Linked DNA regions of Notamacropus eugenii. The protein of the gene in region 1 interacts with the protein of each later gene in a biochemical or structural test. Links are inferred from orthologs where the notes say so. Each region holds a gene or a part of one and is shown in the gene's direction. Other genes may lie near its edges.

The links. The genes of interacting proteins can lie anywhere in the genome.
Region 2: the proteins of COPA (region 1) and COPE form a complex in vitro, tested with the Homo sapiens proteins (3 studies listed by BioGRID, with this or other methods). The link is inferred for Notamacropus eugenii from reciprocal best matches to the Homo sapiens genes COPA and COPE.

Annotation. Positions count from the first base shown.
Region 1 is NC_092873.1:385,355,955-385,365,997, reverse strand, and holds the start of COPA (coatomer subunit alpha), read left to right. Parts: upstream 1-5,537; 5' UTR 5,538-5,626; coding exon 5,627-5,666; intron 5,667-8,873; coding exon 8,874-8,987; intron 8,988-9,839; coding exon 9,840-9,913; intron 9,914-10,043. Other genes in the region: NCSTN (nicastrin), read right to left, coding at 24-142, 551-674, 4,116-4,220, 5,306-5,390. UniProt on the Homo sapiens protein: The coatomer is a cytosolic protein complex that binds to dilysine motifs and reversibly associates with Golgi non-clathrin-coated vesicles, which further mediate biosynthetic protein transport from the ER, via the Golgi up to the trans Golgi network.
Region 2 is NC_092875.1:66,441,856-66,451,610, forward strand, and holds the start of COPE (coatomer subunit epsilon), read left to right. Parts: upstream 1-5,188; 5' UTR 5,189-5,279; coding exon 5,280-5,411; intron 5,412-9,755. Other genes in the region: probable ATP-dependent RNA helicase DDX49, read right to left, coding at 3,837-3,960, 4,841-4,955. UniProt on the Homo sapiens protein: The coatomer is a cytosolic protein complex that binds to dilysine motifs and reversibly associates with Golgi non-clathrin-coated vesicles, which further mediate biosynthetic protein transport from the ER, via the Golgi up to the trans Golgi network.

The DNA of each region.
Region 1 (10,043 bases):
TCCTGGCTCTTTGGGGTTCTTACCAAACCCATCATTAGGGCATTCAACGCTGGGAGAGAAACCATCTACAGGACTGGGCTTGGCGAGAGCCACAGCAAGACCAGAGATTCGCTGAGTACCCTTCAGCTTTTCCATCAGCTTCCTAGAACAAGAAGAAATATTGGGCTAAGGGAGGAGGAAAGAAGAAAGTGTCAGGCAGTCCAACACTCTTACTTCTCTCCCCATAGGAAGGGAAAAATATCTGACTGGAGAGTTAAGTCATGTTTTTCCTCATTTAGCCCTGTTACAGGATTCCTGACTCTAACCCTAATCCCAGATTTTCCAAATTACAGATAATGCTGGTTGCTACCCCTCTACTCAAACAGTACCCAGTCAGATGACAGATCTGGTTTCAGGATCACTGAAAATGTTCTCTTTAAATCTGTACCATTTTCAAAAGAAGACAGTATGAGGAAAGTCAAGGATAGTACCCATTTTTTAAAGCTGGGAGAAAGCTCCTATTTTCCTCTGATTGCTCACCTTTTCCAGGCATATACAGCCAGAACCTTACCTGGTAAAAAGCTTGCCTTCCAGCAGTACCATATAGGGGGGGTTTGGGCCATTGGTTAGGACCCACTTCAGATCTTCCTCCTCTTCCACTACATGGATCACTCCTGTGTCCCCACTAATGGAAGCTGCAGGAACCAGATGGAAAAAATAAAGACCCTAGAATTTATTCCGTTTACCCTATTTCACTGGGCCAGTATGCAGTGAAACTCCCACATCTATAAGGAAACAGAACCACACAGGACAAAACCACAAGTTCTCATGCAGTTTCATACATTGTTAGCTTCTCTCTTCTAGAAACTAGATTGGGACCCTGAAAGAACAGCTGGACATGGAGGAAAGGTATTGCATGGGAAATAATGGCCACAGGTGACAAACACTTGGAAAAAGCTCCAAGTTTGAAATAACTTTTACAAAGATTTGAAGTACACTGTAGACAAGAGAAGACAAACTTGGACCCCATTTGGCCTGCAAAACCAAGGAGTGCTGCAAAATAGATTTAAATGTAATTGGGACATTTTTAACAAAATAAATGAAAAAACAATACAACATAGATAATGTTAATTTGTGGTTTCCTAAGTCAGTACGTAAACTATGATCTATTTCTAGTTGAGTATGACCTGTAGATCTCTCTAATTGTACTATATGTAACCTACGGGGAGAAAAAGGGATAGTGGCTATGAAAGATTAGTAACTCCTGCTTTAATGAGGCTTGGAGAAAAGAAAAATGATAGGAAACCTAGATTCTAGTCTGGGGAGCATCCCTGGTTCACTCTATGACTTTAAACAAGTTGCTTAATCTCTCTGGGCAAAAATGGCAATCGGCTGAGCTGCTCCCTAACCCTCTCCCCAGGAAGAGACAGACTGTATGAAAAAGGAACCTGCACAAGCCTTTGAGCTCCCTAGGGAAAGGAGTCCAATAAACATGGGATATTGTTATCAGTAAACCAATACTGTGCCTCACTATTTCCCCAGAGGATTATCATGTTAGCAATCCCAATTAAAGAAGGTGTAGCCTTGTTCAGAGGTGGATGAACCTGAAGAGGGAAACTTAGACCTAGCCAGATTGAAAAGGAAACAGGTTTCTAATGAGGAAATAGCCTGAGTCTTGCTCCTCCTCTTTCCAATGCTCAGCTTTGCTTATAAGATCATACATTCTACAAGGCTGTGGTAAACATAGGTAGCATGATGGATGAGTCACTGCCAAAAAGGGTTTAAAAGACAAGCACTGTCAGAACCTGGTTCCAGGAGAATGGGGTTCAAGCCCCTATACTTAAGGTTGGAACTGAAACTGCAGTTAGAGACCATAACAGATCCACTATCCCTCATTCCATGTTGGGTATATTTCCAGCAATGATCCTATAACTTAAGGGTCTGTCTAGAACTAGCTAACCCAGCCAGGAAGTAGCTACTGCAGTCATGCAACAAAACATCAACTACTTGACTAAAGACAGGACAGGCTGATAATGGGGAGATAACACACTAGTAATCCAGGGCTCTCAGAACCATTCCACCCATTTGAACAGTTCTCTTCATCATGGTGACATGGTATCCCTAACTATCCCAGATGCTTTATTTCACAGCAAATAGCTGCTGAAACCAAAATACCTATTCATTACAATCTACAAAGACTAAGCTTATCTTTATGAGTTTAAAGAAATACTCTCACTGAACCTCAAATCCTCCACTGAAAGAAAAGAAAGAAGGAATATTTCATCATTTTTTATGGAAAGAAAAGAACCCACATCTCAGAGAAGTGAAATAATTTGTTCAAGGTCACACAGTATGGTAGAAAGAGTTTCATACTAGACTCTCTGTACTAGTCTAACTTCCTATTTCAAAAGGAAATTTGATGTCCAGAAATAGGTGCTGCTGATGGAATAAAAATCAAATCATGGACCACCAACCACAGGGAGTCAATCACCCCATTCTCTCCTCTGTGATATTCTTTTATGTGAAGCTTCTTAGCACCACCTCCTGCTTCATCTCTCCTTCTGATAAGAAGAGTTTCATGATTTCATTGAATGTCATTCCCATGGATGACAACTCATTAGCATTCTCAGAGTTTCTTCATTATCAAACAATTCACTGCTTCTCAGAAGTCCACCTCAGACTCTAAGAATATCACTGTACAATAGAGAAATAGTCAAAAGATCACAGATCCTGACTTGAAAGGAAATTCAGAGACCATCTATTTACAGCATTTATCAAGTGCTAACTATGTGCCAGGTACTTTGTAAGCTCTTGAAATATAAATACAAGCAAGACCATTACTCCAATGAAGAAGCTTCCATTTTTGTCCCAAGTTATTTTACAGTTGAGGAAACTGAGGCTCAAGCAGGTTAAATGACTTGTTCAAAATCAAAAACAGAGCAAGCATCAGAGGTGGGATTTGAATCCAAGTCTTCTATTTCTGAGCCACTGCTCTTTCCACTGGACCACACTTACACACAGCAGACACGAACTGTTTTCAAAAGAAGAAATACAAGCTACTTATCACCACTTGGAAATGCAGAGGGTCATTAATAATCAGAAGAAAAGAGAAATTAGGATAATCCTCAAGTATATAACCACCAAGTGGCAAAGATGTTAAAGGAGGAGAAAACCTATCCCTGGAATAGTTACAGGAAAACAAGAAAGATAATTAACTGATAATGGAGTTATGGCTTGGTTCAACCATTCTAGAAAAGTTTGGAATCACATAAGAACTTATTAAATTGTTCATTCCCTTTGACTCAAGAGATTTAATTTGACCTACATCTCAAGGAGCTTATCAAAAGCAAAAAAAGACATATATATATATATATTTTTTTAATTTACAAGATTATTTGTAATAACAGAGAGTGAGAAACAAAATACATGCCCAACGACCATAGAACTAGGTGAATAAATTATACTCGAATTTAATGTTACTGAGCCGTAAAGAACGACAAATGTAAAGAATTTGGAGAAACGTGGGAAGACATATGAAGTAAATCAGAAGTAAAAGAAAGGTAGATATCAATATACAGATACAGAAGGGCAAAAAAGATAGATATCAATACATAGATATGGATTATCTATATAGATAATCCATATAGATATAGATTATCTCTATCTAATGACAATGTCATTAAGATCAGTATAGAGAGGTAACAAAGGACTGGTCAAAAACAATGATCATCAGCACTAGACAAAGTTAAGACAATTCTGTTTTTAAAAAAATCAATAACCTGTAGGGGGATGTACTTTGTAAAGGGGTTTGTTTAGCTATTTGTTGGGAAGGATTTGCTGTGTCAAAACAAAATGTATGGAATCAGAAGGACCTAGGTTCAAATCCAGCCTCAGATTCTAGCTGTGTGACCCTCGGCAAGTCACTTAACCTCAATTGCCTCCAAAAAAACCAACCAATCAAAAAATGTATTAGTAAATTTATTTTTTGAAAAGATCAATGTAACAGTCAGATGTAATCCCACTGATTTCCCTTCTTCCCTATTCTGACTGTGTTCTGCTACCCCCAATTAACTTGCAGTCTACCTAATACAGGCTCTGGAATTCCCGGAGCACTAAAGCACTAATTGCCAACTTACACTGGCAGCCAATCTGGTGAGTGGCATTGAGCAGGCGGACACAGGGAGCCGTTCTGTTCAAGGGGATGTAGATCTTCCTCTCCACTGAATTTGTTTGGCACAGACCTGAAGAGAAAGCAACAGGTGTAAGAAAGAAGTTTTAAAAATAAAAGGGGCATAGTTCCCTTACTCATCTTCTCAGCAAGGAGGTGGCATGAGACTGGCATATGTCAGCAGGAAAAATTCTGGGTTGGGAAACTTGGGTTCTAGTTTTAGCCGTGCCTTTAACCTATCTATCTCCTTACGTTAAGCAAATCACTCAGCCTCTCTGGGCTCAGTTTCGTGGTCTGTTAAATGAACATAATGCATATTATCTTCACTCAATATGTCCATTAGGACACAGGAAGGAGCACGCTCCTTCCACCCCTCCCCCCAAACACTAGAGAAATCCAAGTTTCTTACTAACCACGGTAGCGCAATCACACTAGTTCCCAGATAAGAGAAAATGTGGTCAAAGGAAGCCCTATGTGTGGATTACTGATTAATTGTAAAGAGTGCGAGCTCCAGAGCAGTGCCTGGATTCAAAGTCTTTCTCTGTATTCCCAAGAAATGAGGTGGAAAGGGAGGAAACCCGGTCTACACACGCCACTGTCAGACGCAGCTCTTACAAGTTCACCCACTACAGTCACGGGAGGGAGATCCTGAAGGACCAAGGCTACCACCTTGGGGCTGGGGAGGGCACGGAGGTAGCTGGAGAGAGGGAGCCCCCCCCCCCCCACACGAGAGGCACAGGAAAAGCAAACCCCAGCTGCAGCCCCGCCCCCCGCCCCCCAAAGCTTCAGGGCCAGGGAAACTTCTCCTCGTAGCTCGGAAGAGCCAAAGCGGCCAAGAGTCCGTCTCCGTCTGTTTGGCAGAGAGGAGAAACTGAGGTACAGGGATGGGAACGAGCCTGATCCCAGACTCCCACCGCCCGGGGGCCTCCAAGAAGCCCAGCGGGAAGGCGGGGGCCTCGGACAGCAGCTCCTCCGGGCTGGGGGCAGAACGGGGGCTTTAAATCCTCGAGAAGCGCGGAACTTGTGTCGGGGGAACGCCGAGTAGGGGGGTTTGCGAATCGGCGGGACGGAGGACCCAAGGGCGCCTGGGCGGTTTCGGAGTAAAGGAAGTTCTCGCAAAGAGGCCCTCGCGGCTCCGGGGGGGTGGGGAGGGCTCACCTGCCAGCAAAGGAACGAAGCAAAAGAGGAGGCAGGTTCGCCGGCCCCCAGAGGCGGCTCCTCCGCCGCCCCCAGCAGTGGCCATCTTGCCTCTCCGGGCCGCTTCCGCCTCCTGCCCCCTCCAGCCTGACAGAGGCCTCTCTAGGCCGCTCCCCTGCCAGTCTCTGTGGCCTTCAGGCGGAAGTGCGTTAGGCGTAGGGCGCTTCCGGCTGCGGCTGCGGCTGCGGGGCGGTGCTGACGTGGAGGGGACCCGGGCCAGTCGGGCTGCGCTTCGGGCCGCGGCCGGAACCGAAGCCGGGGCCTGGACTAGGGCGGACAAAGATGCTGACCAAATTCGAGACCAAGAGTGCGCGAGTCAAAGGTGGGGAGGAAGGGGAAGCCGAGGGACCCGGGGTGTGGCGCCTGAGGGAGTGCCTTCGCCCTGGGGGGGTGGGGGGAGGGGAGGAAAAGCGATCCGAAATCTGGGGCCTGAGGGGATCGGGTCGGAGCCTGCCTGGAAGGAGAGGGACTTTGGTGATCCCTGGGTTTTCCCCCCATTCGCTCTTTCAGATCTGACCCCTTTTATTACGTTTCCCCGTCTTTCTCCCCTCCCCCATTCCCGGGTACCTTCGCTATCCAGAACGCCTTCCCCGACACAAATGTATGGGGTGAGGGGGGAAATTCGTATTTCTTACTTATTTAACTGTGATCACGTCCCAGTGTACTGGAAGGTAAGCTCCTCAAGTGCACAGACTGCCGTATAATGTTTTTTCTATACCCCCATGCCCAGCACTATCCCATAATAGATAGGCCCTTCTTGCAACCTCAGTAGGTTGGTTCATTGATAGACCTATCTATGTACCTTCCCCAGACCCCTCACTCCCCACCATCCCCAATCACCTTGGGTACACACACAGTCCCATTCCCCTCCCTAGTCTTTCCTGGGCTGTGAATGAGGGTTGTCATTGTTTTATCCTTTTGATTTCTCTGAAAAGGTGAAAGGATGGACAGGATAATGTTGCTAAGGGTTTACCAGCTCCTGGTCTTTCTCTAGCTGTCAAGGCTCTATTTAATGTATCAAAATTAAGTATTATGGGTATAGTTCTTGGGTTCTGAATTCTGATCCTGTTCCCACCTACCTGTTTCTGTTAGGTAACTTTTGCGAGAAAAGGACTAATTACTTCTACTTTAGAAGCTGCAATATTCCCATCCCATTGATTTTCATCAATTTCTTCTGTCGCCAGACTATCTTGTTCCTCTACCTTGTAGAGGCAGTTGATGGTGCAATAGATAGAGCCCTGGGACTGAAATCAGAAAAGACCTGAGTTCAAATTTGACCTCAGACACTTGCTAGCTGTGTTACTCTGGGCAAGTCATTCAACCTCTGATTGCCTCAGTTTTCTCATCTGCATAATAGCGACAACAGTAACACCTCAAAGGGTTGTGGTAAGGATCAAATGAGATAATATTTGTAAAAAGCACTTAGCACAGTGCCTGGCATGTAGTTGGCACTATATAAATGCTTATTCCTTTCCCTCACCTCTCCTCACCTCCTTTATGTCTGTACTCTAAAACCTGAAGGTTTTTGACTGACCAGGTGAGGAGATGAGAAGAGAAGGGTATGCTTCCCAGGACTCTGTCAGGGATTTCTCAATAAAATCTGAAGAGGAAGGAAAAGGTAGGGGAGTAAACTCTATAAGGATACTAAAAGTCAAATCCCATCTTTTAGGTTTAGTAAGCAGTGGAATTATAAAGGGTCATTCCGAGTTTATCAGGTTCTTATGAAGATCTTGATTATCATAACGTACATTTAAGGTTTTTCTATGACCTTAAGTGACAAGGAGTTAGTAGTTTGAACAAATAACTGTTACAAGAACTTTTGTAGCATTAGTACAGAAGCCCTTGGTTACAATTATGACTTCTAGAGAAGGAATTGTAGGTAGAAATCCCATGTCCAAAGTGTTCAACTGTTACATATGACCATAAGCAAGCCATCTGTTCCCCAAAAGCCTTAGTTTCTGAATAAATGAGAATTAAAATATAGCTAAATTTTGACTTCTCTGAAGAAAGGTGGAATAAAGAGAGATAATAGCTAATCGCTTATCCTCTCCCATCTATTACAATACATTCTGTACTCTAGACTTGCTGTTCTTGGTACATAGTGTTGTATCTCTCGTCTCTGTATCTTTTGTTGGCTCTCCCCTTGACTAGAATTTTTCATTCTCCTCACTTCCATTAATGGAACCCATGGCTCCCTTCAAGGTTCAGCTCAGATAACCATTCGTTCAATAAATCTTTCCTGATTCCCCTATTCTAAGTATCTGCTCCCTCCCCTCCATCACTTTGTATTTATTTTGTGTATATGCTGTAGTTACTTCTCTGTCAATATATTGCTTCCCCTATTAAAATGAAAGTTTCTTGAGGACAAGGATTGTCTTATTTTATATTTATATCCCCAGTACTTAGGATAGTGCAAGCACTTGATAAATGCTTATTGGTGTATTGATTACGGGATGTATCACACAAGAAACATTAGTCTGTCAGTAACTTTCAAACCTTTTCATAATGCAACTACATTATAAAAGATGTAACTTATATTTCCTTAAAAATTCCTCACAAGTATGTCAAATGAGTTCAAATTGACATCACTATCCAAAAAAGTATTAACAGTCTGGAATATTGGACTGAAATCTATCATAACTAACTTGTATAAGAAAAATATAAAGTCCATTACTTCAGTTCAAAAAATCACCATTACAAGTTAAAGATGGAGAAAAAGCATGGCTAGTCAACAGTTCTCCTAATTAAGATCTTGAGTGTTTAATGAATTGCAAACTCAGTGTGAGTTAATGGTGTGATATTGTGGCTTAAAAACTATTGGTATTTTAGGCAACGTTTAGAGATATAATATACAGAACAAAGGTGATAATCCTGCTGTGCCATGACATGCTTGGATCACATCTAGAGGTATTCTTTTTTTGGACACTACATTTTAAGAAGGACATTTATAAGCTGTACATCATCCAGAGGAGATGAAGGACTTCACGATGACCAGTTGCAAGAACTGAGGACTTCTGAAGAAGAGAAGATTTAGGGAGGGCTCAATAACTACTTCAAATATCTTAATAGCTGTGTCTTTGATCTCACACGACAAAACTAGAATCAACAGGTAGATATTTCAGAGAGGCAAACTGACTTGACATAAGGAAACATTTCAAAACAATTAGAGGTAACAAAAAGTGAAATGAGTTGCCTTAGAAATGGATTTCCCATCCCTAGAGGTCTTCAAGGCTGAATGATCACTTGGGGCTATTATAGAAGTGATTCTAGGTGAAGTAGGTGTTGGATTAGATGACCTCTGAGGTACATTCCAAATTTGAAATTCTAGGATTCTGAGATGCATTGATTTCTTTCTATAAGGAATTTAGAGGTTTCATTTTCTGAGTGAGAAGAGGTTCTCTTCATCTGATTGGCCAGAGTAAGTTAACATGAAATTTGAAGATCAAATGACTTCTTTTCGTGTCTGAATTGTTAGGAGCTTGAGGCATTGAGCCTGTCTCATTGTGGTTCGCTATATCATTCTTCCCAGGACTCAGCTTTCACCCCAAACGACCCTGGATCTTGACTAGTCTTCACAATGGAGTCATCCAACTGTGGGATTACCGAATGTGTACCCTCATTGACAAATTTGATGAGCATGATGGTAAGAGAATGAGTTCCAGAGGAGGTGGTTTTAATCTGGAGTCCATAGACCTTTTTAAGAAAATATTTCAATATGTGTATTTTAATGTAATTCATTTCCTTTGTAATCCTGTGGATCTGATTTCATTCCTTTAAAAATGACACTGAGAGGGGTTAATAGGTTTCACCAGACTGCAAAAAGAGTCCAGGACACAAAAAAGATTACATATAAGAATGATTGTAGCATCCAACTTCGAAATTTCAGTGGATCTGTGACTTCTTTACTTTGGGTAATTTGAGAGGCACCATGGTATAACAGAAAAAGAACTGGACTTGGAGTCACAGGTAAAACCTGTCTTCAGATGTTACCTATGGCACTATTTATCTGTGTGATGGTAGGCAAGTCATTTAACCCTGAACCTTAATTTTCCCATCTAAAAATGGGGAAAATGTACCTAATCTACCTTGCAGACTTGTTGTGATCAAATGAAATAATGTAAGTGAATTACTTTAAAATCTTAAAGTATTATTTAAATGTCAGTTCTCATTATTGTCACTCCATCTACCAGCATAAATCTGGGCCCATCTTAACCCTCTTAACCTTTATAATTCTTGACCATGTTTTCCTGTAAAGTCTGTAGAGAATCTTTCCAATGCATTAGAGGCCTTCCTCTGGTTCATTTACTCCAGTGTAGTACTTGTGACTGTCTGTCTGTTGTCACTCATAATCAAAAAATCACTTGAATTTAAATTCTTTGGGATTAAATAGGATTGGAAAAAGGTAATGGTTTAGATGGGACTATGTATTAATGAATAGGGATTTCCCTGGAGGGTAGATATTTGTAACTCCTTTAACATATTTTCACTTTACTAGGTCCTGTACGAGGCATTGACTTCCACAAACAGCAGCCACTGTTCGTCTCTGGAGGAGATGATTATAAGATCAAGGTAGAGAGAACATGATCTGAGGAAAATCAACAGAATATGGGAAGGTCGGGAATAGTGGGAGGCATAGAGCTTCCTCTCTTAACTGAACTTCTTACTTCTGGCAACCTGAACTAGCAGGGAGGCAGCTGTA
Region 2 (9,755 bases), on another chromosome or scaffold:
CTGTCAAGAGCATCACTGTCCTTCTAGTTAACTAGGTTTGTAATCTGAGTTAATCCTTAACTCCTCATGATCTATTTAATCCATATCTGATCAACTGCCAAGTCTGTCCAACTGACCCCCACAATGCTCAGGCTCACCTCGCCTCTCCTTCAAGATTCCCTGAGTAACATCTCTTCCCAATTCATGAGTCTGACCAGGTCGTTCTCAGGATTCAGAGTCCCAATGGCTTCTTAGGACCTTTGGATCAAGACAAACTCCTCCGTTTTACAGTGAAGGTTCTTTTATATCTTGGTTTCCAACTACCTTTCCAGTCTGAAGACACTGCAGTTTAGCCAAACTGGCTTTCCCACCATTCCTCGAATTAAAAACTCCCCTCTCTCTCTAGGCTTGTGCACAGGCAGTCTCCCATGTCTTATCCATTTCCAATTTCCTTCAAAACTCAGCTCAAGAGCTCCCGCCTACATCAGGCCTTTGCTGACCCCAGCATCTGCTTATGCCTCTCCTTCTCCAACAACCACCAAAAAAATGGAATCTTGTTTTCGTTTTGTATGCATTGATTGATATGCATATGGTTTCTCCAGTTCTCATTCTCAGAGACTGTGAGCTCGCTGAGGGCAGGGAATGTTTAATTTTTGTCTTTCTTACCTCTATGCCTAGAACATACAGAAAGGGTTTATTCAATGTTTGTTGATAGACTGATACCAATGCACAAGTAAATATACATTAAATACCATCACACAAATGATCTCTCCAAAGTTACCAATGGGCCTCTTACTTGCCAAATTCGATGTTTGCAGTCCTCATTCTTCTCAAACTATCTGCTGTATCTAACATGACCTCCCTTTTCTCCTGGATATTCCCTCCTGGTTTTCCTCACACCTGTTAATCATTCCTCTGTCTCCTTAGGGGGCTCCTCATCCATATCACACCCTCTAACTATAAGAGTTCCCTAAAATTCCATAACAGGAAAACAGATTTAAAGCTGAAAGGGACCTCAGGAGCTATCCAGTCCAACCCCCTCCATTGGCAGATGAGGAAGGCTACAAAACTTACCCAAGGTCATGAATGGTCATGAACATGAGAAGTGGGATTTGAATCTGGCTTAGGCCCATTCCTACTCTCAGTAGCTAGGTGATGCCGGGCCTAGAATCAGTAAGAGTGAGTTCAAGTCAGTCTCATATGTCTAATAGCAGTGTGTCCCTGGATAAGTCATTTAACCTCTGCTTACTTCAGTTTTCTTAATCATAAAATGGGGATGATAATAGCCCCTACCTCCCAGGGAGACATCTGTAAAGCACTCAGCACAAAGCCTGGCACACTGTAGGCACTTACAAATGCTTGTCTGCCTCCTCCCTTGGTGGCTTCAACTCTCATGGGTTCACCTGTCACTCCATGCTTCAGTTTTGTATCACCACCTGCCTATTTCAGCCTGGACATCGTAAAGACATCTCAAACACAACATGTCCAAAACAAGACTCCTATTTCCCCTCCAAAGCTTTCCCATTTCTGTCAAAGGCACCATCATTCTTCCTGTCTTCTAGGTTCATAATCTCAGTGCTTTCTCTGACTACTCATTCTCCCTGACCTCACAGATCCAATTAGTTGCCAAATCTTCTGTGTCTGCCTCCACAATGTTCCTCTCCTCTCTACTCGCACAGCTACGACCTTCATTCAGGCCCTCCTCACCTCATGCCTGTGTTATTGCCTAAAAACTAATGGTCTGCTAACTGGTCTCCCTGCCTCAAGCCTCTCCTCATTTTAATCCATGCTACACACTGGCTAAGTGCATATCTGACCACATCTCCCTCCTCCTCTCAATCAACTACAATAGCTTCCTATGCTTTTGGAATAAAATAAACGCCTTCTTTAAAGTCACTTTTTACGCCCTTCACAATCTTGCCCTAGTCTTTCCATCCTCACCAGGTGTGACTCTCCCTCCCAAACTCTACAGCAGCCACACCGCTTTTCTGTTGCTTACACATGAAACTCAATGTCCTGTCGCCTGTGCCTGAAACGCAATCCCCTACATCTTCACTTCAGAGATGTCCTCTCTTGCATCAAGACAGTTCAAGTGCCACCTTCTACATGAAGCCTTTCCTACCCTACACAACTGACAGAAGCCTCCCTGGCAAACTGCCTTGTAAAGAATAAGTCTACATCTATCTTCTTTATATTCTGCATTACCTTAGCTCTTTATGAAGCAGAGCTTATTTTAACCACTGTATTTTTTTATCCCTAGAACAGTGCTTGGCACACAGTAGACACTTAATGTTTAGTTGGCTTTTCAGCTGTGTCCGACTCTCTGTGACCCCATTTGGAATTTTCTTGGCAAAGATAGTAGAGTAGTTTGCCATTTCCTTCTCCAGCTCATTTTAATAGTTTAAGTGACTTGCTCAGGGTCACACAGCTAGTAGGTGTCTGAGACTGGATTTGAACTTGGGAAGATGAGTCTTACTGACTCCAGGCCTGGCACTCTATCTACTGAGCCACCTAGCTGCCCCATTTATTTAAGAAATATCTATTAACTAATTAATACATAACGTAACACTAAGTTCCATCAAGAGAGAGAGTTCTAATAATGGAGGGAAAAGAAAGCCCTTGTTTCAGAAGTGATGTCTGAGCTATGTCTAGGGATTCTGTGAGGAGAAAGGGGAGAGAGGGAGTATGTTCCAGAAATGAAGAACTGCTTGTGTAAAAGTACAGAGGGGTTTAAGGAACAGCCAACACGGCAGTCTGAGTAAAGCAGAGAGCAGATGAAGGAGGCTGCCTTCCTTAATCTGGCACCTACCACCCTCTCTAGTCCTATCTCAATTTACTCCCCTCAATGAAACCTCTGCCAGAGCCAAAATGAACAATTCTTTGCCCTCCAAACACACATCACAGTTTCAACCCTCCCTGTCTTTACTTCAGTTGCTTCCTATCCCTATGCCTGTTCTCCCTTTGTCTGCTAATTTCTTACCCATCCTTTAAAGCTCACCTCAAATACAACATCCTCCAGGAAACTGTTCCTGATAGCCACTCTACTCAATTGTTAACAACCTTACACCCATCAGAACTCATACAGCCCAGTCATATATACTGTGTGTTATAGTTATCTGTGCACATGTCTCCTCCCCTAGCTAGAATATAAAATCCAGTAAGTCGATAAGCATTTATTAAGTGCCTACTCTGTGCCAGGCACAAGAGATACAAAGAAAGACAAAAAACCGTTCCTGCCCTCAGGGAGCGCAGTCTCATGGGGGAGGCAACATGCCCACAACGATGTACAAACAGAATACAGACTGTATAAAGCAGAGATGATCAATTGGGGGAAGACATTAGAGCAGAGATAATCTAATACTGCATCTCCTCCAGTCCTAGAACAGTGCAAATATTTGCTGCATTGTATAGCTCTATTGCAGGGCAGCTAGGGGTACAGTGGGTATAGAGCACTGGGCATGGAGTCAGGAGGATCTGAATTCAAATCTAGCCTCCAACACAGTTACTGGTTGTATGATCCTGAGCAAGTCACTTAACCTTGTTTGTTTCAGTTTCCTCCTCTGTAAAATGAGCTGGAGAAGGAAGTGGCAAACCACTCCAGCACCTTTGTCAAGAAAACCCCAATGAGGTCATGGAGAGTCAGATACACCTGAAATGACTGAACAACTGTAGTCTTGTCTGACCTCAGACAGCTAAAAGGTGCTAGATCTAGATCTGGATCCCATTTCTCCAAGGCTTTTTCCCCATCGTGCATGATACCCTTTGTTACAATACTCACAGTGGACGTATGGAAAAAGAGTAACAGATTTTAATTTACAGTAAATGTTACCTCACTGGAAAGGTGAACATGGCCATACCTGGTGGGCGTTAGCACAAGACAGAAAATGCCATACGGGTCTTCAGACAACTTCTGCAGAATTGGCAGCACAAAGGCAGCAGTCTTGCCGCTGCCAGTCTTTGCACATGCCATGCAGTCTCGACCTAAGACAACAAAAACAACAATAATTGTGACCTTTTGCACACAGGGCACTTTACCAAGTGATTTTTAAATACTTTTTCTAATTTTGTCCCTGTGAGGTAGTGCAAGTGTTATTCGCCCCACCTTCCAGAGGGGAAATAACTTTTCCAGGGCACCCCAGGAAGTCTGCAGCGCAGGCAGACATCCCACAGGACAGAAGCCAGGTGGGTCTCCTGATTGTCGCTCCAGGACTCTTTGCAGGACCAGCTGCTGCCTCGGATAAAAGAGGCCTGGAGAAACCTAAAGCCCATGAGGGAAGAGGGGAAGGAATCAGGAGGTGGGAAAGAGACGCTTTCTAGAGCAAAAGGAGGGAAAGCACTCGGCACAAGGAAGAATCCACAGGGTACCTAGAAGGATAAAGGGCAAGAACTGTGGGGGGGGCAAAGGAGGCAGCAGGGAAGGAGGAAGGTAAATGGGCGGGGGAGGCTGGAGAACTGAGGGTTTAAATGAAATCACCGGGGGAAGCGCTATATAAACGTCAGATTATTATTACAGGGAGCAGGGGAGATGGCAGAGAAAGAGCACGGAAGCTGACGCACGCTGGAGGTGGAAGAAACTGGGGAATGAAAGGGAGGTAGGAGGAGAGGGGATGGAAGAAGGGAGAGCCGAGAGAAAGGAAGCGAGGAGGATGGTAAGAGGTAACAATTCTAGCGCCCTGTAGTCTCATTTTATCCATCCAACAACCCCGAGAGTAAGCGCTGTTATGAATCGACGTTTTACAGATGGGGAAACTGAGGCAGGGGAGGAAAACGACTTGCTCAGAGGCAGATTCGCTGGGAGTGGGGCGTGGAGGCGGGGTCTTCTCATCGATCGCCACGGTGGGGGCGGGGGGGGGCAGCTCACCCTCCAGGATGGCGGGGATGCAGTTCTGCTGCACCGGCGTGGGACGCTTCAGGCCCAGCTGTTTACACTGCGCCACGAGCCACGACGCCAGCCCCAGCTCCGCGAACGCGGCCATGGCTCCCCCGGCTCCGCGGCGGCGGGCTGGTCCTCCCCTGCTGCTCCTGCTCCTTCTCCTCCTCCTGCTCCTCTCCCACAGGTACCCACGCCTGCTGCACCCCAGCACCACAGCGGCCCCCGAAGAGCTCCCCGCGCGCCGGTCCTGCCGCAGTTCCGGAGCGTCACCACGTCCCCGCCCAGACACGCCTCCCTCCTTCCTCCCCCCTCCCCAGCCCCGCCCCTTCTAGTTCCGCTCAAGGCCAGAACTACGATTCCCAGAGGGCCGTGCGGGCGCCGGCTTGCGTCACTTCCTCCTCGTCTCTGTCGACGTGTCGGTAACAAGATGGCCCCTCCGGCTCCCGGTACCGGCCCGGCCCCCGGCGGCCCAGGGGAAGTGGACGAGCTGTTCGACGTGAAGAACGCCTTCTACATCGGCAGCTACCAGCAGTGCATCAACGAGGCGCAGCGCGTCAAGGTGCGTGCAGCGGGCCGGGACGGAGGGCAGGGCGGGAGGTCCGGGGTCCGCGGCGCCTTCCTCCTTCCTCGGCCCCGGCCTAGACCGTGGTCAGGGCCGGGCCCGGGGATTCCTAGCCTAGCCCAGCCTAGCCTAGCCCAGCCCAGCCGCCAGGGCCCTTTAGGAGGGATCTCGTCCAAATCCTCGCGCCCCATTTTGCCGACGGGCAAACTGAGGCCCAGAGGGCGCGGACGGCCGATACAGCGAATTCCTTCAATTCAGCGAATGTTCATGTAGCGCCTCCTACGTGCTGAGCCCTGGGGAGACCCACGACGATGGGACCTGCAGACAGGGTCCTAGGTGCCCAGGCCAACCCCTTCGTTTTACAGGTGGAAGAAACTGAGGCTTCAGAGCCGCTAACGATTTGCGCGAGGTCAGCAGGTAGTAAATAGGAAACGGAGATTCACAGCCAGGACCCCGGACTCCAAATCCAGCCTTCTTCTGGGGGGCGGGGGCAACACACTAAAACTTTGAAATGTTCACCCGGGCCAAGAAAAGGCAGAGACGAAGTGCTCTAGGTAAAGGAGACCTCGAGAGATTGTCCAGCCCCGCTTGTACCTGAATGGTCAAGAATCTCCTCCCGCCCCCAAATTTTATTTAACAAGGGGACATCTGGCCTGCACAGGGAGATCTCTAGTGATGGGCACCTCACTACCCGCCGAGGAAAACAACTCCACCCTTGGACGGTTCTCATTGCTAAGAAGCCGTCCCTCCTCCCAGTTAATGGTCTTTCCGCAAGCCTCTCTAGGGAAGCCTGGTTAAGACTAGCTATAGATAGTCAAGCTTCATTAACCTCATCTGGGACTGTTAAAGAACCTGAGTGGGCTGCCTCAGTAGCTAGGATGGGAGGTGTGGTCAAAAGACAGAGTAGAAATTTTCTGGTAGGGCTCCAAACTTAGATGAGTGTAAACTTGCTGAAAGAGACCTCTAGGTCCAAGGCTGAACCTTGGAGTTTTCTGTCTTCCCCCCACTCAAGGCTTTCTCTCCTCCTGAGAGGGGAGGTGGAAGGGCAACTATGTATTTCCCTACCCAAAGTAAACGGGACCTTTAAATAGCTAAATTGTCTACCTTGGACAGCTCTTTGATCTCAACTGGGTGGAGCCTACCATGAGAGGGGTGTCAGGTAGGAAGTGGTCATTTTTATCCATTAAATGGTAAGTTTTACAGATGATTAAGAAAAAGTTGCCTTGGACTAGTTTTTGGGAAAACCTAAGCTTGGTGCCCTCCAAAATCCAGGCTCCAGTAAGGTATCTTCATAAGGCAAACTTGTAAGTATCAGGTCCCCAGCCCTGTTTTCAATTTAGGATTTTCTACAGGTTTGTCATTTGAACATTTACCAAATTCTTCCCAAAGGTGGCAGGTAGAAAGAAATAGTTTCAAAGGAGCCCAATAGCAAAGGTAATGATTTACATGTTCAGAACACTCTACAGTTTAAAAAAGGGGGAAGGAAAGAACCTTCACATACATTTTGATTTGATTCTCGTAGGAGCCCTGTGAGGTAGGTAGCAGAAACATTATCCTCATCTTTGAGAATAAGTTCTGGGAGGTCAAAGACTATTTCATTTTTGACTTTTTATCTCTAGGATGGTGCCTTACATTCTGAGTTGAATGAAGAAATAGAGGCTTCATCCACTTTTTCTGTAGGAAATCCTATAGAAGTCATGGAACTTGAGAGTTGGAAAAGGCCTCATTGTCCAACCTATATATGAATGGAATCTCCCCAATGACATGCCTGAGAGGCAGTGATCCAGCCTCCAAGTAGAGGGGGAATCCTCCCCTGCTCCAGGCAGTCCATTCTGCTTTCTGAGAGCTGTCATTGTGAGAATGTTTTTCTGACCTCAGTCCCAAATTTGCTTCTCCAGAATTCCAGCCCATTGCTCCTAGTTCTACCCTCTGATGCCAGCTAGAACAACGCTCGTCCTGCCTTCACGTGACAGGCTTTTATGTACTTAATGATCTGAATCTTCTCTTCTTTGGGCTAAACATGCCCTAGTTCCTTCTCTCTGCAGACTTCCCTGTGGAATCTCAGTTAAGACTGACTGTGGGACATCCCTATGATGTCCTCAGAGTCCGTGACATGGATCCAAGGCTCTACACCATCCTGGTTGCCCCCTAATTGGATATAGTACTCCAGATGAAGTCTGATGAGATCAAAACTATGCCCCTCTTAAGGCAGCCCAGATTATCCTGGCTTCTTTTGGCTTCCACAGCACACTGCTAGCTCCTGTAGAGCTAGTGATCCACTTAAACACCCAGATCTTTTTCAGATCAGCTGCTTTTTCTCTGTGCTTCCCCATCTTATGTTCATGAAGCTGAATTTTTGTGCCCACATGCAGGTTTCCCATTTGTTTCAGTGAATCTTATTAGATTCAGCTCAGTGCTCCAGCCTGTTGAAATCCTTTTGAATCCTACTTGTCATCGGAAGTGCCAGCTTCTTCCAAGCTGGGTGTCATTTGCAGACTGGATGAACCTGCCACTTAGTCATTTATCCACACCATTGATCATTGATAAGACTCAGGGCTCCTTCTGCCGTGCTGACGCAGAATCACTGGCAGCCCCTGCTGAATCCATTTAATGTGTTATTTTCAATGCATAGCTTTTCCACAAAAGTGGTAAGAGAAATTTTATCAAAAGCTTTGCTAAAATCTGCATAAACTCTATCCGTTGCCTTTCCCTTATTCACTAGAGACCCTGTCAGAAAGGAAAGTGGGATTAATCCCACGTTAATCAAAGCCGTGCTGGCTCTTTGTAATCCCTACTTCCTTTTCTAAATAAATGTTTGCCAGCTAGCTCTATAATGATCATTTCTAGGGTTTTCTCAGGAATTGAGGTCAGGCTCACTCTTCTAGTTTGCAGGCTTTGGTCTGTTCTCTTTCTTACAACTTGGGACAACCAGCATTTTCTATTCTCCCATTCCCTCTCCATGCTCAGCCATGGCAGACAGTGCCCGCTCTTTGAGGACCAGAGGGTGTGGCTCTTCTGGGCTGGGTGCCTTGGGTTCGCTCTCATTTACTCCTTACTGATCTGCTTTTTGGTCGTTTATGTTCAGTCATTTCTTCTTAGCAGAAGAAAGCAAAAAAGAGCAGTTGAGCACCCCATGCTCTCCAAGTGATCATTTCCTCGATTCCCTTGCCATTCTTGGGTCATTCTGAACTTTAACATTGTTACAGAACTCACCTATGCTCTCATTCTCATCCTCATTACTTGGCTTTGCTCCCATTTTTTCTTCTTTTATTGTAGAAGCTAAGTTGGTTGGTGAGTTCCCTATGTATCCACATTGGTTTCTTCAGACAAATGCCATTTTTCCTCCTCAATGAAGTTGTTTCCCTTCGTTTAGTGTCTTCAGGATTTCATTCATGAGCATCTCCCTTCTCTCCTGAGCCCACTTCCCTGAGATCCTATTCATCTCTCCTCTGAGATCTTTGAAATCTGCTTTCCTAAAATTGAGGGTAACTCCATGTCAGATGGTGCTCAAATTTCCTCTCCTCCATCACAAACTCTAGGATGGGGTGGTCCCTTTCCTGTAAGGTTCCCATCCTTTCCATCCCAGCAACTCGTGCCTCCTTATTAATGAGTATCAGAACTAGAACAGAATTTCCCCTTTGGTTTTGAAGAATGAAATTGTCATTAAGGCAAATCAACAGATGAGTCAAGGAGCTGGGACATGAGTTGAGCATTTAAGGAAGCTAAGGACTGTAAGAGGCAAAGATCAGGAGGCAGGCAGCACATTGAAGGTCTGAGAGGCAGACTGAGGAGGCCAGAGGTGGGATGCCTGGAGGTCTGGCTGGAACATAGTGTTGGAAACTTGAAGGGGAGTTCTATTCAGTAAGGCTGGAAAGGAAGGCCAGTGCCAGCTGGGGAAGGGCTTTAAATGCCAGGCTGATGAGGTTGTATTTTATCTTGGAGCCCCACACCCCCATATTTCCCTCCCCAGAGTTTGGTCTCTTGGCCTTTGGGGTTTGTCTTTAATCAGCTTTAAAAAGCAAACAGATCACATCTCAGAAATTCGTTGGTAAATCAGTCTGGGGCTTGGATTACATTTTCCCATAGAAGCTATTAATGCATTGTGGTTGCCTCCTCCAGGTGGAGAACCCTATTCCAGCCTTCTCACTTTACACAGGAAGATACTAAGACACAGAGAAGGGAAAAGACCTGTCTAGGTTTGAGCCAGACCACTGCACTTCAGTAATCCTAGAAAATCCAAAGTCAGCAGATGAACCTATTTCATGAATGGAACCAACTTTTCCTTAAGTTCCAGACCCTGATTCTGACTATGGCAGACAGGAATTGGTGCTTGCCACAATC